2 linked regions of the Daphnia pulex genome follow. Each later gene encodes a partner of the first gene's protein in a complex. Links are inferred from orthologs where the notes say so. Each region holds a gene or a part of one and is shown in the gene's direction. Other genes may lie near its edges.

Region 1 (15,456 bases):
ACTGACAGGACTCGTCTATGTTCTGCATATGAAAAACTAGTTCACACCAAGACTGTCACACACAAGCAGGTATATGTAAGTGGAAGACAGTCTTCATGAAATGCTTCTAACTCAATTTTAAAAAAATTGGGATTCCTTGTAGATAATAAGTATGTATTGTTTTCTGTGGAAATGTGTCGACAGTGTTCAAATTTATATTTTTTGGACCTTGTTTTTTCAATTCTGGAACCACCAGCGTGGGGTCTTTGCAATTCAATCGGTTCTGTAAGAGTTCTAGCAGGTCAACTAGAACTATCCAGTTGTATCTAGCTTAGGTAAAAAAAACATTCTTCATACATATATTTTCTATTCATTATTTGAATACTAGTTATTATTTTATGGGCAATTTGGCAATTTCGTGTTCACTCGTCAGCGTTCAATTGCATCATATCTGTGGAGCTGTTAGAGAAGCCACTAGTACAGAATACTGTTTATTTTTTCTGGTTATACTGGCCAGGATGTTACAATAGCAATAACTACTTTTTTTTTTGGGGGGGGGGGGATTTTGCTGCTTATGTGGTTCCATGTTCGACATTTGACATGAACATCCTGGCTCCTCCCAGCGCGGGTGGATCCAGATCTCTGGGATTGGGAACGTTTAGATACCATTAAAGCCAACGACAATCTTTGTTTGGATTTCAAAACTTCTCGATTGTCGGCCAGGTTGAAGGCTAATCAAGCTGTTTGTAATTCTGATTCGTTGCATGTTATGAAATTCCGTGAAGAGTTTGTGAGAAATACAAATATTCTAACACACACTAATGCTTGTACTGTTCCATGTAATACTCAAACAATAGACGTATTTTAAAAATGAGAATTCATAACTTGATACGCTTTGCGCAAAAAATTGAATATTTTTTAATTCATATTTATATTCCGCGTGAAAAGCTGCAGGCATTATTGTTGTTTTTTATTTCGGAAGCCTGCATTGGGCATTAGCGTGAAAATCGTCCGACGTGAATTACAAGTACACGCAATTAAAATAAACTGTATTTTGACTCATCACCTGTTTTAAAAAGACACCAATATCCGATTCACACAATCGGTCTTTATTCTTCTTATTGAGCAGCATACAGAGGCTGTTGCCAGATCTGGCTTTTAAAGCGGCGGCTGTATACTAACAGATGACCACTCCCCTTCCGTTAACCTTCGTTGCTGCTGGAGGGAAGAAAGCAACATTACGTAATGATTGATTCCCCCCACCGCCTCCTCCGCCGCTTTTGTGACTGGAACCAGAACGTAAACTGTCGGAAGTCGAGGATCGCGTGTGGAGTTAAACTGGTGACTATCAACCGGCAAAACTGGGCGGTCGTGATTGAACGAGTCAACATTTATTCAATATTTTATATTTTACCTATTAATATGAAACTGTGTTAAGATCGTCCATCGATCGAATTGAAGCGACCGAACATTCACGTTGTTCTTCTTTCCTCCCCTTTCCTATATTTATATTGTGTTTTCTTTATTTTTTTTTTATTTTAGAGAAGAGCGTTGGAACCGATGTCAATTGAACCCCCACGAGTAAAAAAGTTTAGAATGGATCGTTTACGTGGTGGACTCAAAGCACGACTTATAAAAGAATTTGAAAAGAAACAACGTTAAAATTTTGTAAACAAATTGCCTCTTAGTGAAGCCGTCATCCATCGCGAGGGGGGAGTCATAAATTATGAATGACTTGAATATCTTGGAGATTCGGCTGTCGGTAAGCTTGAAAACCACGGTATAGTAGTTCTAAGGTAGGCGGACTCCATTCTCGGAAAAATTTTCACACATCCTCCTTTATGGATCTTCTGATTAAGCCTGCCTACTTTTTAGAACTATTATACCATCCATTAACTTTAAAAAATTATTTTTAGATTTGGTAGTATCTACTTATCTTTTTGACAAATCTGAAGCGTCAACCCAATCGCATTTGTAAAGATTTCACTCGGCTATTACGTTTAACGAATCTTTCGGCGTTTTAGCTGTGAAATTCTGGAAAAGTTCCTTCCTGGAGTGCACTCAACCAAACAACTAAACCAAATCAACGAATTCGTACTGAACCAAATAAATAAAGGAGTCCCATCCATTCGCAAGCAGAGTAAGAAAGAAGAGATGCAAGAAGTTAGGGGACAGCGATGAATTTTCCAACTTCTCTTGTTAAAAAAAACTATTGTGAATTGTGAACTTTGAAATCTTTTAAGTTAACAATTTTAACTTTTCATAAATTAACAAACAGTCGTACCTTTTTAAACAAGCAAAGTTTTAAAATTTATCCGTCGTGTAACACATTTACCCCATTTCACCTCACTCCCCCCCCCCCCCACATAAAATTGATATCCAGAATTTCAAGGGGAAATGTAAAATAATTATAATCTTTCAGTTTTTTTTTAGATTGAAAGGTACCACCGTGAATCTGAATGCAACGGCAGAATCGCTCCTGGTGCCAGGTGTTCTTGCCGACCTATTTGAATCTGTGGGAGGTGCCATCTACAAAAACTCGGGCTTTTCCAGGAAAGCTGTTCTGAAATCATACACCCTATTTCTCGTTCATGCATATGGTTACGACCCTGTGGCGCACCAGCGCCAGATGAAGAGAATCAGGAGCCCTGATTTTATTTAGTTATTCGTTGGTATAATTGCTCTAAGGTAGGCGGACTTCATCAGAAGTTCCCTATAGGATTCATTTTGAGATAAGAGTCCGCCTACCTTAGAATTATTATACCGTAGTTTACTTAATGCTTACCGACAATTGAATCCCCAAGGAATTCAGAGCGTTCGTAGTTTATGATACCGCCCACGCGATGTATTACGCTTTCGCTAAGAAGCCATTTGTTGACGAAACTGTGGCGTAGAATTCTTTCAAACCCTTTGATTTCTGTAAGTATAAGTCCCCCTCTTAAACGATCCAATCTGTATTTGGAGGTCGGTGGTGGCTTGTAGAGGTATATAGGCTCCAAAGCTCTTCTCTAAAATAAAAATAAAGAAAACAAAAATTAAATACAGGAAAAAGTGTTAGGGGAGGCAAGAAGAACAGTGCCCAGTGATAGTTAAAATAAAAAATATTTTGAAAATCTGCTTTTATTTATTCATACATGTTTTTTTTTTATTGAAAAGAAAACAGAAATTAAATACAGGAAAAAGTGTTAGGGGAGGAAAGAAAAACAGTGCCACATTGATAGTTAAAATAAAAAATATTTTGAAAATCTGCTTTTATTTATTCATACATGTTTTTTTTTTTATTGCAGGCCATCAAATGTACATATTTGGTTGATGAACTCACGAATGAACAACGGGTGACGTAACTACGGGACAAAGGAATACCGCGGGGTGCTAACACTGTAAAATTGGTGGGCCAAGGGAAAGGACCCAGATAGCACACTGCAGTCCCATAGACGCACAAAACACGTCACTTTGAGACGTCTGAGATGTACTTGGCACATAGCAGATTCCCAAGTTTACATTCCTAGGACGTCTTTTACGTATGGCCAATGTCCGCTTCGCCGAGATCTCATAGCGGTCCTTATCCCGTCCCATTGGATGGACTTTAGACGTACTTGGGACGGAAAAAGGATCTCAAGAAGTCATTAATAATAAATCTTTTTCTGGACTCTGAATTTATTTCCTTTTTTCTTTACTCTTCTTTTTCTTATGAGTGTTTGCTGTGCCGACATTTTTTCACGAACGCTGATCCGGATATCCGGACACAGTTTATTTGTCAGAGTATGTAAAGGGTTACCAGGCACACATTTTAAATTGCCCGCATAGGAACAGAAGAATTGAAGAAATAATGGAATCTGAACCGGGGATCGAACCCGGAACGTCGTGGTGAGAAGCCAGTACTATACAGATGGGCCACGAAATCATGTATTAACTATGAATATAAAGCTAATAATAAGATTTTAGAATCAAACTTTGCCGCGAAAAGACAAAGACAGTTTCTCCGAAATTTTCTAAGTGTCGAGAAGGAGCCAAAAAATAAAAACGGGACGCATCAGAGACTTCTACGAGAGGGAGTAAAAAATGACGTATCCGACAAGATGAAAATGAGTAACGTGTTCAAATAAGGGCTCGCAATGGGACATATTAGAGATTCCCCTGTGCCCACCGCACCATCCGCACGGCTTTGGTCCCGCCTTGGGACAAGAATTCCTATCTGGGGAGGCATCTAGGGGACTCCAATTTGTCAAGATATCGCTCGGCAATGACTTGCAATGATTCATTTGGCGTTTTTGCTGTGAAATTCGGCTTTACAAGTTCCTGCGTGGAATGCCAACTGAACCACAGAAACAATTCAACGAATTTTCTGAGAACCAACTAAAGGAGGGACATCCATTTCCAGCAGAGTAAGGGAGAAGAGATGAAAGAAACTCTGCTTATGAATTAGGAGAAAATATAAACTAATTTTCTTTCAGTTTTTTTTTTTTTTGACTAAAAGCAACTCCTGAGAATGGTAATGCGATAACCGAATGTCTCCTGGTGCCCAGTGTTTTAGCCGATCTATTCGAAGAAGTGGCTGGTGCCATTTACAAAGATTCAGGATATTCCAGGAAAGCAGTGGTGAAATCATTTACCCCTTTTATTTAACAGGCTTACGGTAACAAATAAAAATTTTATTCCCAGCGTTGGCGCCCACTCCCAATTCTCTTTATCCGGGACTGGTGGACCACAAACCAAATGCAAAAAAAAACTTTTCATAAAAAATGTTTTCTATTCTAGATAATTTTGCACTCCCAGCCGATGAGATTCTACTCGAACTGAAGCCATTGATGAAATCCATGAAAAAAAACAATTTTTTTATGTTTTTGCATGCTATTTGTATCATTTAAAATTAATTGATTTTATATTTAGAATTTACTCCCTCGAAAATGGACCACTTTCGTCCACAATATCGATTTATAAAAAGATTACATAGGAGCTGCCACTTCGAAAAGGAACGGAAAACTGCCGGCCTATAAGTTGGCTGTTGGCAGTTAGCGAACTTGCTGTGTAACGCTAAAAAGCGACCAAATTTTCAACGTTTTATTGATGTTACCCGTTTCATAACAACAAATTCGCCATTATTTTCCAAATTGTTCTTGAAAAAGTGTTTTCTTGTTTGTACCTAATTGACTATACGAAGAATATACACAGTCTTATTTGTCGAGATTCCGCTCAGCTATTACCTACAATGACTCTTTCTGCGTTTTGGCTGTTTAATATTGCTTATACAAGTTCCTGTATGGAATGTAGTTATAAGCCATGATGTGGATAGGACATATTAGATATAATGCGAATCCTGATGACAGTGTGGATATATGGCAAGGGCACAAGGCCCGGCGTGGATACAAGTATTAGGGTAGACAAGAGATCAGGTTACGTGTGGATATAGGGTACGGTGTGAGTCCTTAAATAATTGTGGCCACAGGTGTAATTATGGATCATGTAGCTGGGACCACGGCTTGGACAGGATGTAATGTTGCCAAGTCCCGGCGTGAAAAAAATACATGGCGTAGATTTCGTGGTTGGATAAGAGAAAACTGTGTGGCCATCAATCATGTTGTTGTACCTAAGTTTGGATTTAAGTTAGGATAAGGATACAATCCATTGCGTGGATTTAGATAATGGTGTGAATAAAAGCAATGAAGTGGAAATAAGCCGTAGATGGGACACAATATAAGTCAGCTTGGGAGAGAAGGTTAGATAACAAAAACATTAACCCCGAGTTTAATTTACGAGAAAATTCTTTTATATTTTAACATCTTATTTACATTCGCTTTATCAATAATAAGGATTTAAGTTTGGATTTAAGTTAGGGTAAGGATACAATCCATTGCGTGGATTTAGATCATGGTGTGGATAAAAGCAATGAAGTGGAAATAAGCCGTAGATGGGACACAATACAAGTCAGCTTGGGAGAGAAGGTTAGATAACAAAAACATTGACCCCGAGTTTAATTTATGAGAAATTGCTTTTATTTTTTAACATCTTGTTTACATTTGCTTTATCAATAATTTTTTTAAATAATTAATAATATTTTGCTTACAAATTCGGGTGTAGAAAAAAAAAGTTTTATGTGACACCCTTTTCCGTGTGAATAGAGCCCTCACAACAGTGTTGCACGATTTGTTTAATTCAATCGTGCAACACTGTAGTGGGGGCTTTATTCATAGGGAAAAGGGTGTCACATAAAACTTTTTTAGTAAGCAAAATTAAGTAAAAATTCAAGGGACACGGGTAAGGGCTATATAAAATTATAGTATAAAATCTAAAAATCCATATGAATTACATATACCCGAAAATGCGTGTGTGTGAAGCACGTAATCAGTAGGAAAACGGGGAACGACTAATTGCCTTGTTAACCCGTACGGCCTGACCCCTACCGGCATGCAGAAGCATCGCTTCAGGGGGGTTATAGGGGAGTTCAGTCTTTCCTTCGTAGTCTATGTGGAAACGTTAAAAAGAGCCATCTAGGCTCTCAAAAGTAGCTGAGCTTAGTAGCTGACACACTCACTAGAGGCGCTTTTTAAAGTTTCGGAAATTTTAAAAATTTTAAATTTTCCAAATCTGCTTAGGGCATGGACTACTCTAATTAAGGACGGGACTCTTCGCCTATCTCGCCGTGTTAAAGCTAGTCGGGTGGGCTATTTTCATGAGAAAATAAATAAAAAATATCAATAAATTCAGTTTTTTTCGCTTATTCTAACTATGTATATAAATCTTAGTGAAATAAACTAATCAATAAGATATTGTAATTTTACTTTCGGCAGTAAGGGTAAAAGTGGGAAACACCGGTGCCCTCTAGCAACAAAGCACCCTAATCTCTTGCCAATATAACCTACAAGGTAAAGGAGAGATAGGCAGCTATTTCAGAGGAATTACCCGAAGGGTTACTGGTCAAAGTTTCGTTTGCAGTATGGTTTACATTGGTATGGTTTTTACATTGGTATGGTTTTTACATGGGCACCCTCAGTTCTCGTAACACTACACAGATGGCTTTTTGCAGTTCTCGTAACACTACACAGATGGCTTTTTGCAGTTATCGTAACACTATATAGATGGATGCACTAGTTTTTGGCAATTATTGATTGCAATCAACAATTTAATTGCATTTCAATGGGAGTAATCGGTAGCTTACAACTTTTTACATCTATTTTGAAAATTTGGCTGCAATCGATTGAGGCGTTTGATCAAACGGAGTTCTTGTTACTTTTTGACAGAATTTCAATAGCTGTTACAGCAGACGATAATACAGAGACATGTGACAGCTGACAGGGATATAAACGTAACGTGACAATCGACTTGAAGCCCGTATGATAAAATAAAATTGATAGTCAAAGTAGTAGTACTGTGTTCTCTGTCGGTTCTAGTTCAAAACGAGTGTTATTATTTCGTAATCACTAACTATAGCGACAATAGCTGTTGGAGTAATATTTTACGATAGAATATAAATAACTGTATGTTATCATTTAAACGCTATCAATCTCCAGTAAAAGAAGTGCTGATAGGTAGTTACTTACATTTAATTTTAACAAGATCCGGTGTGACGTGGGGTGGCGGGGCGAAGCCTCCGCCACACCAAAGTCACGCCTTACCCTTACGCCGCGCCATATCATATTAAGTTTTTTGGAGTTGAATTTTTATTTAATGTTTGGATAGAAACATGCGGAAATATGCTTTTCATCTCTTTCTCGATTTCTGCATATTAAATTTCTCCGGAAACTAAGGGCATAACATTTTTGTTTTAAATATTATTAATTAATCTTAATAATAGGCCTACCTTTATAACAGAATATTATTATTATTCTATAACTATTCTATAGCTCTGCCTTTATAAAACTATACCAATACAGCAATACTATTACTATACCAACTAGTATACCCTTAACATTCCCTTCGGGTACCTTGCGGCGTACGTACGCTGCCTACAGTAGAGATAAGAGAGTGGTCTCTCTTATATACGCAATGGGTATCTGCTTTTAAACTTACAAGAGCTTACGAGGTTTGGTTCCTAGATGGCACCGGTGTTTCCCACTATTTCAATTTTCCAATAAAGAATATCAAAATATCTCTATAAAGATAAATTTTAGGTATAGGAACATTAGGTAATTAAATATTAATTTTCTAATTCCGATTCCGATTCTCCCGAAAAAAAATTTACAGGGCCGACATTGGAAATGCCGAAGAGTCCCGTCCTTAATTAGAGTAGTCCATGCTCTTACTCGGCTTTGTATCGGCAACACTGCTTAAAAAGTAGTTCGTGACTTCGTGTCTTCGTGAGTTTTGTCGGCTGCTATGTTTCCTCTTATGTCTTGTCACTGTTGTCAGTATTTTTTGCTTGCTAGCTACAGCCGTATATACCTGCGTTCTTGTTTACTTCTAAAGATTAACCGAACCGGCTAACCACTATGGCAAATTGAATAAAGATTCATACTTCACAAGCAAGAAAAGTAATTTGTTTCGCTGAAATGGATGAAATCGCTGACAGTTTAGAAGATAGCATTCTTTATGAACTGCTCGTTTTCTCAGAATGGTCACAGGAGCAAGATGTCATTGTAGGTTTATTATGTTCATATTAAATTTTATTTTTCTAACTCACTTTATTATTATTATTTTTTGTTATCTTCAGAATAAAATTGTTGATGAATCTTATTTGAGTTGGAGAAGTATCCTAAAATACTTAAAAAAGAGTTCTGGTGCTTATTATGTTGCTGAGTAAGTAGTTTCTGCTTTCATCCACACATGATAAATGCAGTAAAACTATATAAATTTTCATCTTTGCAGTTGGTTAAACCAGCAACTACCATGGCTGTTCGCGGTTGGTTCTAATGGTAAAGCAGTTGCTATCCTTCAAGATAGTGCTTTGGAAATCCGAACCTCCAGAGATAATTATTCTGTACCAATTGGAAAAAATTTTGTCTCCAAAGATCAATTCCCGCAATGGAGAAAGTTACAGTGGAGCCCCGATGGAACCCTGTTGGCCGTGGCACACAGTAGTGGATCAATTGATGTTTACGACTTGCTGGCAACACATCTGTTTGTCATTCCTCCTCCCAAAGAAACTATTTTGCAAGGCTCCTCAAATGAAGTCCCAGCCAATGTGATAGCAGGGCTGGCATTTGTTGACACCAGAACCAAAAATGCTCACTGGTCGTACGAACTCATATGTTTGGATCACTTTGGCCAACTAAGTGCTTTTTTTGTATCACCTACCCAAGGCTTTAAGGAGAGTCACACGTTTTCGTTTGCGTCACACGTGCCTTATGGTGTAACGGCGTTCTGTGCAGATCAGTCGCGTAATTTATTGGTTTTAGCCTCCCCAGTTATTACGTCGTGTGAGCCTAACAATTCTGGAAACAATCAAGGAGTAACCGGAGCCAAATACGGTTTAACATCATGGAGAATAATTGATGAACTCCCTTTCTACATTCAAGCGCCTATTGAGACAAATCCGTTACCGAATTTATGGTTACAGTCATTAAAGAAGAAACAATATGGAAACACTGTTGTTAAACTAAGTTCTTCGGCGGATGGTTCTTCTCTAGCAGCTATTCATCTTTCCGGAGCTATTTCAGTTTGGTCGATTCCTGCCTTGAATTGTCAACAGTTCTGGCCACTGGATCGCCAGCCGGGCTTTGATGAACTAAATCCTGGGATTCTTCAACTACCCGCTCATCGCCGTGTACGCAGCCCTACTTTCCAAAATCCATTTAAATTCCATCCTGTTGATGTTAATTGGTGGTCAGCAAATTCACTGGTCATAGCCCGTTGCTCAGGAGCCGTTTCTGTGTGCGCTGCAGCGGATCTTCGAAACAAACTTGGCTCTTCGGCAGAATTCTTTGAAGGTTCTCCGCGTATCAGTCCAGCATTTGACAGTACTTTCTTAGGCCTGGAATGTGAAGTGAAAGTAAAGCGGAAACGACTTCAGCCAACTACCGACGATACAGCAGTATCTGATTATGCCGACTATGAATTCGAAGACGATCCGAGCGGAGATGAAGAGAAAACATTCATGGCCCAAAGAGCCGTGCGCTCACTCCTTTATTGGTTTGTCTAATATGACCATTTATTTTACACCTCGTAATAATCTTTTATGTTTTTCGCAGGGTTACGGACAGTGAGCGTTTCCGACCACCCAGGAAACGCCCTAAACTCCTCACAAGGACGTATCGTCTTTTAGGTTTTAAGCGAACAACTCCGGATGAGCTCTACATATGGAAATTAGACGCTGAAGGTTAATTTCCGAGTTTTAAATAAAATTTATCGTTTTAACATTGAATGAGAATCTAAAAGATATATTTTATTTGTGTAGAATATGGCGAAGCCTTGGCCCTGGCTCGAGTATATGGTCTAGATTGCGATCTGGTGTATCAAAGACAATGGAGAAATGCACCTGCTACTATTGCAACCATCCACGATTATCTGAGCAAAGTGACCAAACGCAACTGGGTACTTCGTGAATGTCTAGAACGTGTTCCCAGCGATGTGGATGCAGCCCGCGAACTCCTACTGTATGGATTGAAAAACACTGATCTAGCCGTAGTTGTGGACATAGAGGAAGGAGGTCGTAATAAGCCACCTTGGGGTCCGATTGAGTTCCAAGAAACGGAATCTGAAATGTTGAAAAAAGAAGAAGAGCAAAGAAGAAAGTGGCTGGCACAGATCGATTTTGATAATTTGACAGTGCAGCAAAAAATGCTGATATCAACACGACGTCGTTTGCTACAGTTTCTCGATCGATTGTCCATCTACGAGATGATCTTGGGGGGACCTCATGCCGCAGGGCAGCGCTTTGACCCATCTTTTTTCGAAACTTTTCGGTCTCAAACAGCATTGGAATCGACTGTAGGTTTTGCCCGGCAGGGTGAATGGCAAGCCGTCGCCGTTATGTTCACTTTCAATGGACCCCAAACGCTACCTCACCGATTGGCCGTCTGTTCTTGCTTCCCTGAAACCGTTCCGCCTTTTGAATACCGCTCCGTTTTACCAGAATGTGATGTCGGCGAGGAAGTTTTCTTATGGGAGCAACAGGAACTACGAAAGTCAGATTGGTGTGAATGCCCAGCCGCTCGGATGGCTGTTGATGTGGATCGTCAGTTGGAGATAGAAACCGTTGATCAATTCTACAGTGAAGAAGCCAAACAATTAAAACCTTTCTTCTCTATGGGAATTGTACTAACTACCGACCTTGTTAGTCTATGGTATCGAACACGAGCTGCGGACATCGAAAAACAAAGGTTTGTTTTATTTAATTTTAATAAATACTGATAATATTGATGACAACGTTTGTTATATTTGACAGCATGTTGGTGGAGAACGCGTTGGATTTCATCAAACTTGGCCTAGAAAGAAACGTGCCTCACTTGGAACGCATCCATCATCAGTTATTGACGCTGGAAACACTTGTCTACGACCTCCAGCAAGAACACCTCAACTTGGAAAGGCTCGACGCCATGAGCGAGCTGAGCGTTTGTCAACTAATCATGGGTGGCTGTGATGTTGATTCTTTTTTACCGAAACTTCATCGTTGGTTGATGCCTTATTTACGTCGCCTGGATACTCTACAGCCTGGTCGTATCAAGGAGCTATTACGCGGCCTACTCGTAGTCAGGAGTCAAGAAAATCTGGACTGGGCACTGCAGGTTTGTGCCAATTCGAAGACGGATCAGGCCAGCCCGATTGTCGTCGACGCAAGTTTCTTGATATCGCTAGCTCTGGAATGCATCTACGCCTGCCAGAAGAACGACCAACTTGAAGTGGCCATGAAAATTTACGATTGCTTACCTGAGCGACCAACTGGCTCCAAAGCAGATCCGCTACTAACCCATCTACACGATCAGTTGGATCAGCTCCAATCTCATTTAGAGGCAGCTGACATTCTCGAAAATCACGACGTGGCCATAACACCTGCGACTATATTGGCCAAGCAGAACGATGTGGAGCAGCTTGAACAACTTTTCGTCCGTTTGACCAGGACGGCTTTAAGAAAGGGCGATCCATCGACCGAAAATCGATGGAAAGAATTGTTGGAAGATATGCTGGAGTTGCAGCGTAAAGTCTTCTGTTGTATCAGCCCCCAACTGTGCTACGAAATTCTCGTTGGTAGCTTACTTTCTTCGGCTAAAAAGGAGAACATCGTTTCTGCTGGTTTGATGCTGCAGCTTCATCCAAATATCGATTCCCACACATCACAGAATCACATCAGTTCAACGTCGAAAATTCCATTTGGCCGAAGCAAAGAATTAATTCTCCAAGCAGCTGAAGAGTACATTAATTCTTCTGAAAACCTTTCGGATCCCAGCTTAGACTTAGCGAGCTATTGTCTCAATTTAGTGACAATTGACGACGAAACTATTCAAGAAGAAAAGGTGTTAATTTGTCATTTCTTGTTTTATCAAGTGTGACTTATGTCTTATGATTATTATTTTTTTTTCGCCCTAGGATCTAATTGGCGCTATTCAGCTTCTGTACGATTATGGATTGGATATGCCACCGCTCAAGATAAGGTTGTCGCGAAATCGCCTTTTTCTCATTGATCAAGTTTTGAAACAAGCTAACAAAGCTTACAAGAACTCGTCTAGACTCCTCCGACTTGGACATCTACTCAGAGCTTGCAAAGGAAGTTCGTTAACTAATAATGAAGATCGTCGAAAAGAACTAGAAGGGCATATATATGTCCGAATTGCTGAAACGGCAATCATAAAACAAGATCTTGAAGTAGCTGGCCAAATGTGTGGAAAACTTCGTTTAGCCAATCATGCAGTCGGATGGAAGGTCTGCAGCCAACTAGCCAAGCTTGATGAAGTGACCGATTTGAGTATGAGGATAGAATTCATCTCCTTCTCTTTAGTCTATTGCCCAGCTGAATGCATCGAAGAATTGCTACAATTGCAATGGAAGTTGGAACAAAAACAACTTGAACAGGAATGCAAAAAACAAATTAAAATGTACATGGATTACGAAAACGGCAATGATAATTTCTTGAAGTTGGTGTATCCAAAATCAGTCGAAGACTATCGTCAAGAGATGGATAAAAATAATCAGATTCCAACTACCACAACTACCAGTGGTGGAAGCGTGTCGAAGCAGGTGTTGCAGACAACTGCGGAAACGACAAAGCAATTGGTGAATGTCGTCAAGAGCAGCTTGAAACTAAAAGAAGCTCGGCCAGCAGAAAATGGAGCAAGAAAAACGCCCACCCCTAGAACATCAGAAGATAATAAAGAATGCATCCGTTGGGGCTTATCCGTGTTCTATTGGGACGTCTGGTGCAACAAAAGGATAGAACTTCACGAGAGTCAATTGGGTGCTTCCTATCGGCTTTTTTCTCTGCCCGAGATGGTCAATAGTGAACTTAATCTTCTCATGTGGTCCTGGCGAATGCTGGTGCTGGACAGCCTGGAAAAACCTTACGTCAAAAGCCGTTCAAGAGACGACATATTATCCAAGTTAGCCGAATGTCTATTTCCTTCTGATTGTTTGCTGGCCTTGGGCCATCTATTGGATCTAGAGGCGACCGAAGAAGCATGGGAGCCTTTAACGCGTTTACCCAGCACAGAGATCACTCTGCAGATGGCTGCCTATTATTTCTCTCTACGCATGATGCGTTTCTCTCAGGACGAATCCTTGGGTGCTGATGCCAACATGGTCACCGCCCGTCCGCGCACTCTGATCCATCGTTGCCTGACCCTTCCCGAGACAGGTTTGTCGAAAGATCAGGTTGTGTGCCGCAACCTTCTTAAACGAGCTCTACGACTTCTAGCCGATGTGTCTGAAGCGCAGCAACTACGTCGATTGGACGGAGGAGTCGATATTAATCGATTCACGACGGACGATATCTACAAGCGAGATACAATTGTAGGTCTTGCCATCACAACTGATTCCGGCGTCTATTCAGCAGCCGTACGCTTGGCAGCACATTATGGCGTTTCTGAATGGGAAGTGACATTTTCTCATCTGGCAGCTGTGTTCGCTGAAGAGAAGATTGCTCCAAGCTATATCGTGAAACACATGGACGAATACCGCATACGCGACATCTTATTCAATGACCCACAAACACTCGGGGCGAAGATGGTGGACGTAATCTATCCGAGTATTTCGGGTCGAGATTATGGTCGGCTAGTCCTTTTCTTCCAGTTACTCAATTCGAACCCAACGACTGCTGCATTCACGGAGCCCCCCGCTCCTGTATACGTTCAAATTCTGCGTAAGCTGGAATCGATTAAGGGTGTTGACGTGAAAAAGCTGACGCGATCCGTTCAAGGTTTTGTGCAAGAGATTGAGAGCGTCGCCACTGCGGAAAACGTTGGCAAACTAGCCAAGCTCGCACAACTGATATCGTCTTCGGTCAAAGGAATGTCGCCGGGCGTAAGCCAGGCTACCGTGCATTCAATCTGGATTCGGAAATATTTTTTCGCGTTGGCCGATGAAGGCAAAAGTGTGGCGGTCTCCGATTGGCTTGATCGATTTGAAAGTTGCAAGACTCACGTCACCAAGCTAAATTCAGAAGAGTTCTTAAACCTTGTCGATGGCCTTTGCTTCTCCGATCGTGCCTTGGACTTGCTGACGCTTGATATCCGGACAGAAATTTGTCGTCGATGTCTGAAAATCGCCAAAGAGCGCGGCAAAAGCAAAGCTTCCAGCGACGCTCTAGTCTCGGACGACTACCAGGCCCGCATGGAAAAGTGGGCGGAGCATTTGGAACGTTTGAGGAGTGACGAGTACATCCAGATCCGCACGGAAGTTGTCTCATCAGCAGGAAGTCAATTTTGGAGGGAGTTTGAAAAGAGTCGGGCGGAAGAGACCGCCTTGCATCGGGTGCTGTTACGGATTCTGGTGGAGAGGCAGCCCTTGTCCGTCGTTCGACTACTCATTGGCATTTTCCCGCCGGATTTTGGTTCATCGCCGGAAGACGTTCTTGTTGATGCCATTCGCTACGTCCTGGAATTCCTCCGCCGATCCGTCGAAGTTGACAAAGGCGAACACGAGTTGGCCGGCAAAGATGCAATGCAGGTGTTACTACATCTGTTGACTCAGGTCGGTGAAGTTCTGGATGGCCATGAAGAGACTGGTCTCCTCAGTCGCTTGGATATTGGTGAAATGATGAGCCAGTTTTACGAGGACGACACAATTGACGTTCAGGTCCGCCTCCAACTTATGTTGATGCTGCAAACACTTCCGGTAGACTTTGTCGGTCTATCTGAATCCGGAAGCCGTGTTCAATGGCTCCGCTCTTTGGCACTGATCCAACAGTCTTGGACATCAAACCAAGACGATACAGCTGATCCCCAAAATGTTATCCACCGTCTGAGAGAAGAGGACCTGAGGAGCGTCGAGCAACGCCGAAATATTTTCGATCGGCTCTTGGAGATGAGCCACACCATCGCTCATTTGACGTCGCTGGCCAAGTTGCTCAATTTCTGGCCGCCGTTTGCATCTGAAAGGTGCGTTAATATTCAA
Region 2 (15,576 bases), on another chromosome or scaffold:
TATCACATGCTAAATACCAGGTTTCACCCATACACTGAAATCATATAATCACATAAATGTCAGTAAAACTTTTAAAGTATATCCTAAAGACTCGAGCCAGTCGCTTTACCTCCAAATCAAAAGTACGGACGTAATTATTGACGTAGAGAAGATTATTCCACCAGTTCCAACGGCAGGCCACACTCAAGTCCCGGACATTTTGCCAATTGGGTCCTGATCCCAGATAAGCCAACAGTGTGGCTATGAAACCCAATATCACGGCGTAAACTGGGGTCAATCTATAGATTCAAGTTAAAAATTGATTATTGTTACAAGTTCTGCTTTAAAAATCACTCCTGATGATCCACCTAAGGAAGCGATGGAGATAAAAGAGGGCGACATTGAATCGGCCTTTATTCCGGTCCAGTTCACGCATCAAGGAATAAGTGACGAGCAGGCCGCTCATCAAGAAAAATGTGTCAACTGCAATTGTGCCGTTGAGAACGCCGTGCAACTGCCACTCTAACGCATCCTAGAAAATAATTGTTACATAAGAGGTCCTTTATTTAATTCATTACTATACTCTACATTTCTTGTTATACCTTTAAGAATCCTAAAGGATTGTACATGGGACTGATAATAGCTAAATAGTACGTATGGTAAAGAACGATCCAGGTAGTGGACAACACTCGCATTCCGTTCAAACAGGACAGATTGTCAACAGCAGCTGATTTGGTTGACAGCAATTTCTTGCCGTTGGTTAGCATGGAGAAACACCGCAGGGCTTTCACAGGCAGTCCAACTTTTTTCGGCTGATCGGGTTGAATTTGGTAATAACTGAACCACACATCGTGTAGTGTAGCACAAAGAATCACCAAGCCAAGGATGCTTAATGTAACACTGTAAAATAAGAGAGACCATGGTTACATAATAAATTAGATAATCAGCACTTAAGCGGTAAATTACATCACAGCTATGTCGGGTCCGTCAAAATTCGGAGTGGCTTTGATCTGCTCGGCGGTGTAGCAATAATTATCGTCGTTGACGGCCACCATGGAAGTGTAGTAATTGGTGTCGTTGTAAGTCGTGTTATCTATCGCCCTACTTCCGATCAGTTGCGCAATGGACAAGCGGAAGTCTTTAGCGGTGCAGGAAGAAGGGATGCAATAATCAAGGGCTGCCAGGTATCTTGAGTTAAGATCGGTGTCTCTCACTTTGGGCTCTTTCAATTTCGGACCGTTGTAGAGCCATTCCAACACCTGTATGATTCCCACCCAATTTGTCCGCTGCATTTCGTCTCCTGTTACGGGATTCTCCTCTTCCAACTCTTCTGGCATTACCAGGTCCGAATCAAAGAACACCGTGCAGTACTTGCCCTGGAAGGATGTGTTGGTCCAATCGGCCTGGACGGCTAGACATTCGTCGAAAAGTCCTAGCCCGTGAAAGTTACCACTGTAATAAAGCGCTTCTGGGAATTTCCCCGTCGATTCATACACTGTGCAATACGTAGGAAAAAATTTTAATAAAATAAAATAAAATAAAAACATTTTGAAGAAGATTTACTTTGCTTGGCCCAGTCGACTCGAAGAAGGTAGGCTTGGTGGTAAGCGATGCTGTCGTTTAAACATTGCTCGCTGATGTTGGTGGCCACAAGTGTTGGGAAATTGGATCTTTTTGAAAGATTGCGCCGTTCCCGCGCAAAGAAGGCGACGATGGCATTAGTAACAATGTTACTAACGATGGACTTGTCGTCGTCATTTTGTTGATTTAAATAAAGGCTTGGATCAATTTCTGACAATTCTAAATTTTCGAGCTCCTCTGGAGAGATACCTAATTCGATTGAATCAAATCGACTAAGTTGATCTAGATTGCTCGTTAAAGAAATCACTTGGCCGGCCCCGGCAAGAACTAAAATAAAAAATAAAAACATGGCGTTGAGCTCACGCCTATAAGAACCTGTAATAACTAGGGCGCTATATACTAATTATAGTGTACTAGTATAAAAGGTTCACGCTCAACTGTTCGATAATGGACAATAATAATCAGTTTTATATGCTGTTGCGTTAACGAACTTCCTGATAAGGCACACACTATTACGTTTGTGATTATTGTGACCGGATGAAAGTTTCGTCATTGACACCGTTGGAGGTTATAGAGCAAAGAGTTGCCGCTCTTTTTGCGTTTTAAATTTTGAAATGAAATTGTCGCGCCTTATCCAAACAATTGGGAACGCTATCGACAAGGATAAAAAATTAATTTGACATGTGCGGACAAATAGTTTTATCTGTATTTGATGGTGCAAGAATGATTTGAAAACGTATGGACATCAAAGACGAAGGCTGCTTATTTACATACTTGTTACTTGAGACAATAAAAAAACGACCTTTCGCCATCATAAGCTCTAATAATGACCGTTATCCACTGAATGCACTTATAACAAAGGTCACCTTTACTTATCATTATTCAAATCTCATCTTGTTCTTTTTTTGATTTACTAATGATTAACTGGAGACGTGATCACGTGAACGGAACGTGACAATCAAAATCTAGTTAATTTACAATGTGAAAGTTGCAATATTCATTATAATGCGCACTAATGATAGGAGGCGTTTTCCCTTATTACGCAATGGACAGAATAATCAAAAATCGTCTACAGCTTGAAAAGAAAAGTGTTTACACTTATATGTTTATGATTTATGCAGGCATTACCGATTCTATCGGTATTATACTATATGCTATAATAATGTTATCTCTATTGTAATAGCGTGACGCAAGAATCAACATTACATTACATACTTTTGCAATCATTCATGTATACGTGTGTGTGTTCCATTAAAACCAATATTTCAACTAGCGGGTGATTTAAACGAATAACGTGGAGATTTAACTCAATCTTCTTCTCCGTTCGGCCTCTTTGGCTCAATTTCAATATCGACTGCCGCAGGTTTTTCTGTTTTTCATTGTCAAAAGGGAAAACAGATGAACGAAATGAACTTTGAAAAGGTAAAGTCAAATGACATACTTGTCCTGGTGGGATTGACGAGCAGCTTCTCCAAATTCAAAAGAGGAACCTCCACGACCAGGCAGATGGCGAATGCCATGAGAAAGACCATCAAGATAATGCCAAAGTAGTGCTCGGCGTGAGTGAACTTGGTGTAGTAATACGGCTTTCGGATGTAAGCGTGATAGACCAGCAAGTAGTTTTGATGAACTAGGTAGACGACATACGTCAAGCGGCCCAACGGAATAAATATCTTCCACGATAGAAAGCGGTTGACGTATCCTTTTTCACGTTCGATAATTTTAGGTTATTCTATAATAGACTTTAAAGTATTTAAATAATTAAATATATACCTCCGTAACCATGAATGCAAGCGAAAATAATCCAAGCGACGCAGGAGGCCCAGGCGATGCGGTGAAGTGATCCGTACGAGACGCGGACGAAATCGTTCATTTCCGGAACCTCGTACTCATTCAAATAAGGCACCATACCGTAAATAACGGCCAATCCAATCACGATGGTGAGGGTCCAGCCAACAGCCACCACAACCTAATTTTAAAAAATTAAAAAAGGTTTTATAAAAAAAAATAATGATATGGTTAAAAATTCACGCTAAAAAAGTTACCTTCTTAAGTTTAATCTGCGTGTTCTTTGTCAAGTGAAGTATCCATCCGAGTAAAATTCCAAGAATGTATGGAGGAAAACGAGTCCACAGTGAAGCATAATAGCCATAGAAGTAATACGGATTGTTCATGTCATTCCTATAATGTTTAATTAAATTGATTAGGTATAATCATCAGCCTAAAAATAGAAAAGAAAGTAAAAATAACATACTCTCTTGTGAAAAAACTCATAGCTGGAAGATCCCAAACAATGAAGATGGCAATAGTTCCACACAGAATTCCTACTATATTGAAAATGGCCCAGCTCAAGCCAATTTTTCTCCATCGCCAAAGAGGATAGATGAATAGCGGACTCAGTATAAACATTTGCATATCACATGCTAAATACCAGGTCTCACCCATACACTAAAACCGATAAGGTAATAATATTAAATCATTCAGGCCAAATTTAAAATAAGTGTTACTCCATTATTACATCAGCTCCCAAAAAGTTATTGATGTAAAGAAGATTGGTCCACCATCTCGAGCGACAAACAAGGCTATGATTCCGGACATTTTGCCAATTGGGTCCTGATCCGAGATAAGCCAACAGTGTGGCTATGAAGCCCAATATCACGGCGTAAACCGGCGTCAGTCTGTGTCAAATAGGAAAATCAATTAGTCCAGGATAAAATGGACCAAACAATAAAATGTATAGAGACCTGAGATATCGATGAAGATAAAAGAAGCCAACGTTAAAACGGCCTTTGTTTCGGTCCAGCTGGCGCATCAAGGAATAAGTGACGAGCAGGCCGCTCATCAGGAAAAACGTGTCGACTGAAACGGTGGCGTTCAGAACGCTATGAAGTTGCCATGTCAGTGCATCCTAAGAAATAATACTTTAATTATATGTATAATACGGACGGAATTCATTTATTACCTCAATTAATGTAAAAACGTTGTACATGGGATTGATAATTGCTTGATAGTACGTGTGATAGAGAACGATCCAGGTGGTTGACAGGACTCTGATTCCATTCAAACAGGCCAAGTTGTCGACGGCGGCCGATTTGGTGGACAACAATTTCTTGCCGTTGGTGAGCATGGAGAAACAATGCAATGCTTTCACGACCATTTTCTTCGGCTGGACAGGACGATTTTGATAATGCAGCCATAATTCGTGCGATGTGGCCAAAAGAACAACCAATCCAAGTAAACTCAGTACGACACTTAATTTCAATTAGAGAGATATTACATCGATGAATGATTGAAAATTAATTGAAAATATACTATGACTTACACAACAGTAATATCGGCTCCGTTATACTTGGGTGGGGCGTGGATCTTCTCTGTGGTGTAGCAATAATTCTCGTCGTTGATGGTGACCATGGAAGTGTAGTAGAAATTCCCATCGTACGTCGTGTTCCCTATGACTCTGCTCCCCACCAATTGGGCGACAGACGAGCGGAAGTCTTGAGCGGAGCACGAAGAAGGTATGCAATAATCGAGGGCCATTAAATGTTTCGAATTGGGATCGCTGCTTCTCATTTTGGGCTCTTTCAATCTCGGGCCGTTGTAGAGCAACTCCAAGCCTTGCAGAATCCCCACCCAATTGTTTCGCTGCATCTCATTATTCTCTGAATTTTTCTTGGTTGGACTAGTCTCTTCCAGCTCCCATGGCATTACTAACGCTGAATCGAAGAACACCGTACAATACTGACCGTGGAATGGCATTTCCGCCCAGTATCCTACCGATAAACACTCGTCGAAAAGTCCTAGACCGTGCAAATTGCCACTGCCGTGCCAGGCTTCCGGGAGTTTGCCGGTAGATTCAAACACTGCACATATCAAATTATAAGGTTTTTAAGCATTTCGCGGGTGAATGTTGAATTTGATTTGAATTATAATTACTTTTCTTAGCCCAGTCGACTCTAAGGAGATAGGCTTGGTGATAGGTGACACTGTCCTTGTGGCACTGCTCGCTGATATTGGTGGCCACAAGGGTCGGGAAGTTGGACGACTTGGTGATGTTGTGTTGCTCACGAGCGAGTAACGCGATGATGGCTTGAGTGATGATGTTGGTGGCGATCGACTTTCCATCACGTTGTTGGTTCTTATTAATTTTTTCCTGTGGAATTCCGTCTGACGAGACTGAAGAATTGTGATGTAATTCTCGGTTGTTAATTAAGGAAGAAGTCGTTTTTCCAAAACCGACTAATAACACTAAAAAAATTGGGAAATGCATATTCCCGTAATCGATTTGAACGGCCCGCTCAACCTTTTTGGATTACCAACGCTTGACCGCTGTCTACTGACTGAGTTGAGACCAAAATAAGCTTTTGTTTATGTATCGAAACGCAGACGCTGATAAACATTTGTTTCCGGTTGATCTTCGGTGTCTGGTAATCACTTCCTTTGTGGTTACTAGCTAGCTGTTGCTTGTGACAGAGTTTTGTGCAACGAACGAATTATTTTGCTAAGAATTGGATGAAAGATGATCAACTTTTTTCCAACTTTTTATCGACGGTCAAACGTTTGTTCCGTTGATTGCGTCGAGTCTCGTTAAATAAACACACACATTAGCAAGTTAAGTTAAGACAAGGAAATATCTATATAGAGTAGATATGGAAATCAATATAGAGATGAACATTTAACACTATTTCCCAATTTCCAAGGTGTGCCACGAACCGCAAGTATATAAAATACCAAGTGCTCCAGTGTAACTTGAGAGTGACTATGTTATACACCCAGCTGGAGCTTTGGGTTTTCTATACATAATATTAGGTAATAAGCAAACAGAAAAAGAAAACATGTCAGCTGTGATGACGGCCATGAGGAAGCAAATAATAAATACATTCATTTTCGTGACAGCGCTGCAAGCGCGTTCTTTTTTTGTAGCTTGTTCCATCACTTAGTATGCACGGAAATTCATAATAACCAGCAAAAGAGGGAGTGACGCAACCGGTCTCTAACGGGTAATGGTGTAAATAAATAATTGATTGATGTATTGATTAATTTCCCATATACTTTATTTTGTGGCCGAGTGTCTCAAACTTTTTACTGTAATCTAAAGGGCGAGTATTTTCCACTGGATTTTAAAATCTACTTATTAATCTTACTAATTATTTTATCTTCCACGATCTTCTACAAGTTATCTGGATACAGTTTGTATTGAGTATTGACATTTGAATTTTCTCAAAGATTTGAACCGGGCAACCGCCACCGGCGGTCCGCGAGGCTGCGGGAAAGAACTGGCTTCTTTAAAGGTTGGCCCATCTTCTTTTCCTCTCCTTTCAAAATTTCTTGGCGTTGTAGTTGCCGCTAGATCTCTGCTGTCTCTCTGTACACCTGAATCTCCAAAAAGGCAAAAAGCTAACTTGCTTTCAGTGATTTATATTCAAAATTAGAATTCCTCGTTAAACGCTACAGTTTTCAGAGCGAACTTTATAAAATATGGCTCCAGTTAGAGTTCCAGAACTAGCACTAGAAACTGCAAAAGAAGAGCTTAAAGGTATCTTTGTGTCCAGAAATAAAGTTAAAATGGAATCAGTCTTGCTCTAATGATTTGAATTTAGCTTTTGTAGCGAAACCAGCGAATAGAGATCGAGAGAAATGGAAGGGATTTGCAATCATTAATGCAGATGAGAATATGATGCAAAATATGGAGTCTGCTACCCAGTTACAAGAATCACTGCTTTCGGTCATGGAAACCAAAGTACGATTACCAGTAAGACAAACAGTGATAACCTTTCCTATTAATGTTTAAATTGACAAGCAATTATTACATTTGCAGTGCATAGTGTGCCAAGGTCAAAAAGGTGCTATATTTTGTAGAATAACATATACGTCTGCCCTAAATGCCAAAGAAAAACTTGCAAACTCCCGATTTAAGCCCCCATTCTATTTTGTGGTTTTTCCAAATGAAACTGTTTTCTATTGCATTAAAAAATCCATCCCTGATATGATCGCCGACACCCTGATCAAAGTGTATGGAGCAACTCGATTGAGAATACTTCCTCTTGAAGGCAATGATTTCCGTTCCCTAAGACAACTGCATTTAAACAAGATTAGCAAAGGAAAGATCTGTAGAAGACCTGTCAAAACTACACATCCAATCGATGCAGACGTCGAGATGAAAGAATCTCATTCGGGTAATTTGTCATTATTCTGGAAGCCAATTTTTTGAGACATAATTCTTGTTGTTTGATTGCAGATTTAAAAGAAGACATAGAAGATGAAGATAGACCATGGAAGAAAAGAAAAGATGAATACTATTCTGAGCATTTCTATCCTGAGAAGGATCCTGTCATAACCAAATTCACTGTTTCGGTAAAATTTTGTTTCTCTTTCTAGATCCAGTTCACGCCTAATTTTTTATTTTCTATTGCTTAGTCTTCGTCCAAGTTCTCCGGTACCCGGACGACTTCGAAACTTAAGTGCGACCTTAAAGTAACCTTACGATCAGACAACCTCCTCGAGTTTTTTAACTATTCATTGGACAAGGGAATTCTCACGTACCCTTTAAACCCGTTTTTTGAAAACATCGTTAATTTAGGGCGCACCTCAATTTCAACAAAGGATATAGAAGAAAACTAGACTGTAATTGTTGCTACATTTTTCATTTTCAAACTGTATGATACGGTTATTACGGTAAATTTAAATGATTTTTAAATACACTAAATTTGAATTCATTCTATTATCGAAAAGTGTTTTGGTAGAGTGATTGTTTCGGACTTTCAGTCTCGTCTCGCTCGATCATAAGTTATGACAAAGTAAGAGAGTAAAAAGCATAATTATTCATAATTTTCATCAGCTACTGGATTTTCATGGATTTCCGCTTATTCTCTGCTTATGACTATGAATTATGAGTTAATGAGTTGTGTTCAATTTATCTTGCAACCTCGCGATTTATTCTGACACATAAACAAGCAGACAGTTTTCAATAGCAAATTGTAGTGTGGCTGTGGCAGCCAGTGAGCAGCAAACAAGTTGTGTAAACAAACTTAATAAATTACACATATTTATTGAGATGACGGAGGAAAACCCGGATTTGCAAAGAAAAATTGTAAAAGCACTCAATGAAGAAATTGGATCAGATTTAAAACAACTTCACAAACTCAAAGAACTGTATGATGAAACCAAAACCATACAAAATGATCTGAAAGAGAAAGTAAAATAATCTTGCTTCACCTGTTTTTCCAACATCTATTTATCTAATATTTATCTATTTTCAGCTTTCATTAGTTAGCACAGAAGCTCCAACAAAAGTTCAAAACACCTTGAGGGAGGTTGAAGAGCTCTCAAAAAAACTAGTGACTCTTGAAAAACAATACTTGGACTTGAAAGTTGAAGCCCAATCACACTTAACATCTGTCGACACATTTCTAGGAAATTTCAGCAGTCAACTACAAGAAATAGAAAGACTTGAACTGGAATATTCCTACCTGAAATGCATCAAAACTGTGGAAGATCTAAGGTATTCAATTTAATAAACATATAAACCCCATCATAAAGTATTAATCATGTTTCATCACTTATGATATTAGTGAGAAAATCCGACAGAGTTTACAGTCTAACCTAGATTTGGAAGCTGTTGAGTTGTACAACAAACTCGTACAACACAACTGCATGCTGGAAACATCTCAGTGTGAAAATCTAAAAAAGTTTGTTAATGATACTGTAATTTTCTGGTTTGAGATGATCAAGGAAAAACTAAAAAAGTATAGCCCATTTCAATTAAAGATTTATTATACACGTTAAAAAATGTTCTTTTGAAAAACAGGGAAATGCAAGATACTCTTAAACTGATACAGTGGCCTTTGATTTCAACGAACCAGGAGGTTTTAAAAACTGTCCCTCCACCTGATGTGATGAGCAAGTTTCAGTTACAATTTCAGTGCCTTGGCAAACTGGAAATCCCATCCAAACAGTCAGTTCTACACTGGCCCAAGTACAAGTTTGCGGATACATTTTGAATTCTTTATTTCTTTCAGGTTGGAAGATCCAAGTGTGGCAGATCATGTGATTTTGTCTAGATTTACTCCTTCCAGCCTAGCCATCCAAGAATTAATATATCCTCTATTGAAAAGATTTTTATATCATTTTGGTGGTAATCGACCAACCAACCGTCGTGACAAACCCGAGTGGTATATGCGCCAGATTCTTCAGTGGATTGGAGATCACGCTAAATTCCTCGAAACAAACGTTCAACCCTTGTATGCACCTAATGATGCTTTAACGGATTTTTCACGAGGACTCGTTCAACTTGCTGTCGAGAAACTAGTAAAGGACACACCGGTTATCCTTGAGGATGAAACCATTTTGGCACACACTATCGGTGAAGTACTCAGCTTTGAGAGTGAACTTCGATCCTCTTACAACTACCCATCCTCACAGCCGTCAGCTTTACTTGTTCTCTCTCAGCCCCAGTTTTTTACTCGATGGATTGCCTTAGAAAGAGCTTGTAAGTTGACTAATGAGAATTTCCTCGCATTCTACTTAAACTTCAATCATTCTGTTTCATTCATAGTCGCCGTAGAAAAAATGGACATCCTTTTGATTAGCGATAAAGCCTGGACTTGCGTCTCTGGAGACAATTCCGAGGCAGAAGACGAAGTTCGATTAACTGAGTGTGGCGAAGGATTTCTCCAAATGCTGCTGGCCATTACGGATCGTTACAAGATCTTACCCCAACCCGGTCATAAGTTGCAGTTTTTGGATTTACAGCTTGAACTGCTGGACGAGTTCCGTATTCGGTTGCTACAGTTAGCCCGTCAAGACAAATTTCACGAATTATTCGCCAATCGATCATCGCCCAATATCAGCCCTATCCTGAACACGCTGACGGCTGTTATTAATGTTCTAGATGACTGGACTGATTTGCCGGTAATAATTTATCCAAATTATGAATTATCGTATAATAATCGTTTATGTTTCTCTTTTGTGATGCAAGTTCTTCGTTCAACTGCATAGTTATAAAGTCCAGACGGAAAATATTGAACGTTTAGCTGCAGAAGCTATTAGCAATGATGAGGCCTCGCTTCCTTGGCTTCGTACTCAAGCTCATACTAATCGAGACGAAGAAGGTAAACAAATAGTCTTTTCAATATTATTTTTCCGAACAAAACATTATTCCGAATTTGATCATCAACAGGATCGGTATTTGACAGCATCATTGAGCTTTTAAAGAGAATGCAGGAAGATTTGCTGCGCCGTCTGGTAGAGGCGGTGATGCTCGAAGTGAAAGCCAAATCGCAACCCTACAGACTTGACAAGTAAGTAATTGAAATAATTTTTTGAATTGCCTTATTATAAAAAATGGAATTGTCCGGTAGGTGGGCATCACTCCCCAATCCGGATGAATTCATTCAACCCAGCCTATCGCCAACAGGTCAGTATTTAGATTCGTAGTTTTTATTTGATAATCCGTTTTATTATTTGACGTCTTTGTTCTATAATAAATAGGATCTGCAATGCTCCAGGCAGTAGCGATTGGCTTGTTGTGGCTTAAGGATTCCCTGGCATCTACTATGTTTGTCGAAGCGTGGCAGAAATTGGCCTCTCAAGTGAACGACGTATGAAATGACTGTGCCTGTTTTTATTCAATCAGAAATTTTAACGAATCAAACATTAATTCTAGTTCCTCTTGGAAGAGCTGATCCTACAGCGGCAGTTTAATGAAGGAGGCGCTTCTCAACTTTGCTTCGACATCCAGCAGAATCTGATACCGCTTTTTGGGCAATACACCACAAAACCGGAGATTTACTTTAAAGAGTACGTGTCTGTCCGTTATATTACTTTGCATAACTTCTTAATTGTATTTTATTTTGATAACAGGCTTAAAGATGCATGCACATTATTGCGGCTTCCGCGTCCCATCACTCTTTTGTTACTGGATACTCTCTCCGTAGCTATACAGGATAGTGAAAGCACATCTGTCAAATCAAATCGGGCCACATTCAACGGCAAACAAGCGCTGAAAGACCAAGGAATTAAAAAATTATCCGTTGAAGATTCTTTGAGCGTTCTCCGTCGGAGAATTTTGTAAAGGAGGTTTTACAAATTGGGATGTTAATACAAGTCTAATGAATGTTTTAGACTGCTGGGTAGAGACGGCCACTGTGAGTTGTGATTATAGCGGGAAAAAAGCGGTGAAAAGGGGCAAAATCAATTCTATTGTTGGAATTTTGCGTCGTGGGAGATGTTCAAGGCCGGTATAAAGTGCGTTAGTAGTCCTAGTGCGCGAGAGCCCAGCAACCTGAGTACGGTGCTGGAGGCAGTTCCAACTGATCGAAGTCCTTGAAAATTTGACGGAGGGGTAGGGCCTTATCGGTCCAATCGTAAGATAATTTTACATTTGAATGGTGAAGTGTCTAACATGCAGAGTGGGCTCTCGGTCAAAATCTAAAGTTTTCTCAAGGTTCGGACACACCGATTATCGCCCTTTTTTTTATCGCAGTACCACTTTAGTTTCATTTAGTTGTTGTTTTTCAGTTGTTACTATTTGTTTCTAAAATTTTGTTGCCTAGTGACTGTTTTTCAAAAAAGTAATTTTCGTCGTCGACACATTCGCAATGGAAAAGGAAGGTGAAATCCTACTCAAACCCGGTCAACAGATAAAACCTCACGTTCCAAATGAAGTGGTTCATCAACTTGTTTTTAAATTGTACAATCTTGAAGTGGCTTCAGTAAAAGAATTGAATAGTTACGACGATAAAAACTTCCACGTCACGGTAATGTTTAGTCCATTTTTTAGCTCTCTAGGTTTTATATAAAAATAACTTAAAGCATTTAAAGTTTTCTTTCATTTAGGTTAAAAGTGACAGTGCCTTGCCTGATATTCACGATGCATGCCCTCACGGATATGTTTTGAAAGTCCTGAATTCCCTTGATTCTAAAGCGTACAACTTGATTGACGCACAGAATGAAATGATGCTTTATTTGGGTATGTTAACCTGTTTTCTTTAGTAGACATTCAGAGTTTATTTATTTCAATGAATGTTTTGTTTAGCTAAGACGGGGTTGCCTTGTCCAAGACCGGTGAAAAATATTGACGGAAAGAGCATGTCGTTGGAGCATTTGAAAGGTAATACTATTGATGGAGTTACATGAGAATTTATACAAATGCTATTATTCGTCTCACAGATGCACAGAATCAGTCTACGGATCAATATATCGTGCGGCTTCTGTCCTTTGTGCCCGGTAAAATTTTGTTTAGCGTTCCTTATACAAAGGAATTGTTTTTTCAAGTCGGAGAGTTGGTGGCTAAAACAGATCTCGCTTTGATGGTATTTAATTTGATATATTTACTTATTTCATCTATATTAAAACTATACAAGGAAATGTCACTAATTCTTTACAGGGATTCAAACATGATGGTCTCAAAGGAGTTGATCGCATATGGAATTTGATTGCCGTTCCAAAGCTTGTAGACTTTGTTTATGTGATTGCAGACGAACAAAAACATTCACTGTCGATGGAAGTCATTGAGAATTTCAAGTCCAATGTTATTCCATTTCTACAAGAGCTTGAGAGTGGCCCGATTCATGGAGATTTCAACGAACAAAATATACTGGGTAATTTATTAAAGAGAAATCTGCGTATTCGAAAAGCGCTGGATTTAATTATTTCTTACTTTGCAGTGGAAGCAGATAAAGAGGATCCGGAAAAATATTCTATATCCGGCATGCTGGATTTTGGAGATGTACATTTTGGCTATTACCTTTTTGATATCGCTATTGCTATTTGTTACATGATGATCGAGTGTAAATCAATGGACATGTTGGATGCGCCAGGCCATGTCTTGGCGGGTTACAATCGCGTTCGCCCGATCCCGCAAAAGGAATTTGACTTGTTAAAGGTATTTGGCTCTCAACATTTTTAGAAAATCAGTAAATGCTAACAAATTGGTTTCTTTATAGGATTGCATTTCAGCCAGATTTAGTCAGTCTCTGGTTTTAGGCGCTTACTCTTATTCCCAAAATCCGGATCCCTATCTTTTAACTACGGCGCAAAGAGGTTGGCAATGTCTCAAGACGCTCTGGGATTGTCCGAAAGGTGAACTTTACAAACGATGGAACGAAATTATAAATAGTTATGCTAATAATTAATCTCGCAATTTTATACAAACACTTTGGAAGTTTGTGAAAGCGTTGAAAGTTCCTGACTTAAAGCAACTTAGACATATCCAATAAAAGAGAAAATTAAAAGAAAGTAAAAGTTCCAATTTTTTTTAAATTAAAATTAATTAAAATTAATTTGTGCCAACTTTATTTAACGACTTAAATTTTCCAACGGAAAGAATATTCTACATTTTAATGTTACTATACTTGGACCTAGGACGAGTTTCAGAACAGACAGACAGACTACATGATCCATTTTCAAAACGCCGGTTTAGTCCCAAATAATATTTACAATTTTTTCAACGATTCAAACGAAAAGTAGCATAAAAACTATTGAACAATGTTCGAAAAACATTTATGCGAGTGACTAAATAATATTGAATTACGTTACATTAATTGTAATTAAATAAAATGATAAAAAAAGTGTCCTTTGGCTTTTGCCATCGCAGCCCGAGATTGCCGGGCCTATATAAGTTGCAAGGTCGACCACTAGATTTACAACATTTCTCTGAGTTGAATAAGTCAAAGAAGCAGCTAGCTGAAAAATGGGTTTCCTGGATTTTTTGTCATCAGTCTTTTTGAAGAAGGAACCCAGTCCTTCTACATTCGTTAAGAGGCAACAGCAAGCGCCATTGCAATACCCCAACAACGACCAATCACGTCATTCTGATATGTACGCATATCAGAACCAGAATACGAATGAGATGAATGCATACCAACTGAACTGGACGTACGAGGAGCCGAAGCAGCACCAACAGCCGCCACAAAACGGTCAGCAGTACTACGAACAAAACCCAAACGACCAAACTCCGTATTTTCAATATCTGCCGTCATATTATGATCCGGAGCCACCTATTCCCAGTGCGGAACCCAGTAGGTGTAACGCTTGTCCACAAATCGCTGCTAGAATCCAACAGCTGGAAGACCGGATACAAACATCTTGGCAGAATAATCGTGAGCTTTGGAAGCAGCTCAACCAAATCCAAAAGGAGAAAATCCAAATGGAGGCGTCAGTTAATAAAGAATCATTTAATCCCTATCGCATTGTTAAGAATGATCGTTTGAAAAGAGTAACACTCCCTTTTTGCTCATCAGCCGACATTCCGGACGAGATTAAGAATGATCATCGGTCTTGGGACGACAATTACGCAAATCAACCAAATGTCACTTCAGTCAGGATTCCCTCCAAACCCGACATGAGTCATCCAAAGAAGTCCGGTGTCCATCCGTTGAACAATAACAGCAAGCCTCCGCAAAATATGCCGAATAATCCTGTACAAAAACCGCAGAATTATTACAAACCTCCCCATGTCATCTGGGATAATCAACGGAAATTATGGATGGATGTCAATAATCCCCGAGCTGATTTTGCTGAGCCAAGTCAGCAACAGTTCTTGGCACTTTTGGCGACACAGGCGACTGAAAAGAAATGGAATGAATTTATTCAGCGGACTTCTTCCGGAACGCAATCGGTCGAGCCAAACTGCTCAAATCAAATGACTGGGCACTTTCCCCCCACGCCAATGGCATCGATGTCTTCGAATTTCAGATTCAACTACGAAGTGGATGCTTCTCATACCTTTCAGTCGCATTACAGCGAAGACGTTTAAAACGAAAGGATCGTTTTTTTGGATTGAAAATGAATAGTATGTTGTTCTTGATCGCAGTTCCGAATGTCTTTTGTTTTTCATTGCCCTTGTGGTTCAATACTGTTCTGTCAGTTGCTGATACACATAAATAAATAATAAAAAAAACTTTTGCATTCTTTTAATTAATTATTTATTTAGTCGAGTTATCGTGATAATTTCTTAACATAAACGAAGTTTTTAGCGTATGACGCGCCACCAAACGGAACCGGACTAAGGCACGTTCC

The links.
Region 2: neuroblastoma-amplified sequence-like (region 1) and RAD50-interacting protein 1-like share a complex: the UniProt entries of both Homo sapiens proteins name them as parts of the NRZ complex. The link is inferred for Daphnia pulex from reciprocal best matches to the Homo sapiens genes NBAS and RINT1.

The regions. Positions count from the first base shown.
Region 1 is NC_060028.1:6,562,554-6,578,009, forward strand, and holds the start of neuroblastoma-amplified sequence-like, read left to right. Parts: upstream 1-8,209; 5' UTR 8,210-8,465; coding exon 8,466-8,552; intron 8,553-8,626; coding exon 8,627-8,712; intron 8,713-8,781; coding exon 8,782-10,044; intron 10,045-10,103; coding exon 10,104-10,231; intron 10,232-10,309; coding exon 10,310-11,234; intron 11,235-11,299; coding exon 11,300-12,365; intron 12,366-12,438; coding exon 12,439-15,440; intron 15,441-15,456. UniProt on the Homo sapiens protein: Involved in Golgi-to-endoplasmic reticulum (ER) retrograde transport; the function is proposed to depend on its association in the NRZ complex which is believed to play a role in SNARE assembly at the ER. Required for normal embryonic development.
Region 2 is NC_060023.1:2,164,410-2,179,985, reverse strand, and holds RAD50-interacting protein 1-like, read left to right. Parts: upstream 1-8,517; 5' UTR 8,518-8,611; coding exon 8,612-8,752; intron 8,753-8,816; coding exon 8,817-9,058; intron 9,059-9,128; coding exon 9,129-9,302; intron 9,303-9,364; coding exon 9,365-9,511; intron 9,512-9,575; coding exon 9,576-10,045; intron 10,046-10,111; coding exon 10,112-10,467; intron 10,468-10,534; coding exon 10,535-10,667; intron 10,668-10,735; coding exon 10,736-10,856; intron 10,857-10,916; coding exon 10,917-10,972; intron 10,973-11,046; coding exon 11,047-11,156; intron 11,157-11,221; coding exon 11,222-11,355; intron 11,356-11,418; coding exon 11,419-11,629; 3' UTR 11,630-11,690; downstream 11,691-15,576. Other genes in the region: nose resistant to fluoxetine protein 6-like, read right to left, coding at 1-34, 110-278, 348-511, 582-879, 946-1,474, 1,543-1,909; nose resistant to fluoxetine protein 6-like, read right to left, coding at 2,868-2,929, 3,002-3,262, 3,334-3,529, 3,606-3,741, 3,815-4,008, 4,079-4,238, 4,305-4,468, 4,523-4,811 and 2 more; uncharacterized protein LOC124197333, read left to right, coding at 7,036-7,093, 7,158-7,309, 7,376-7,733, 7,796-7,911, 7,975-8,178; hydroxylysine kinase-like, read left to right, coding at 12,156-12,314, 12,394-12,526, 12,593-12,667, 12,727-12,869, 12,944-13,157, 13,224-13,441, 13,503-13,691. UniProt on the Homo sapiens protein: Involved in regulation of membrane traffic between the Golgi and the endoplasmic reticulum (ER); the function is proposed to depend on its association in the NRZ complex which is believed to play a role in SNARE assembly at the ER.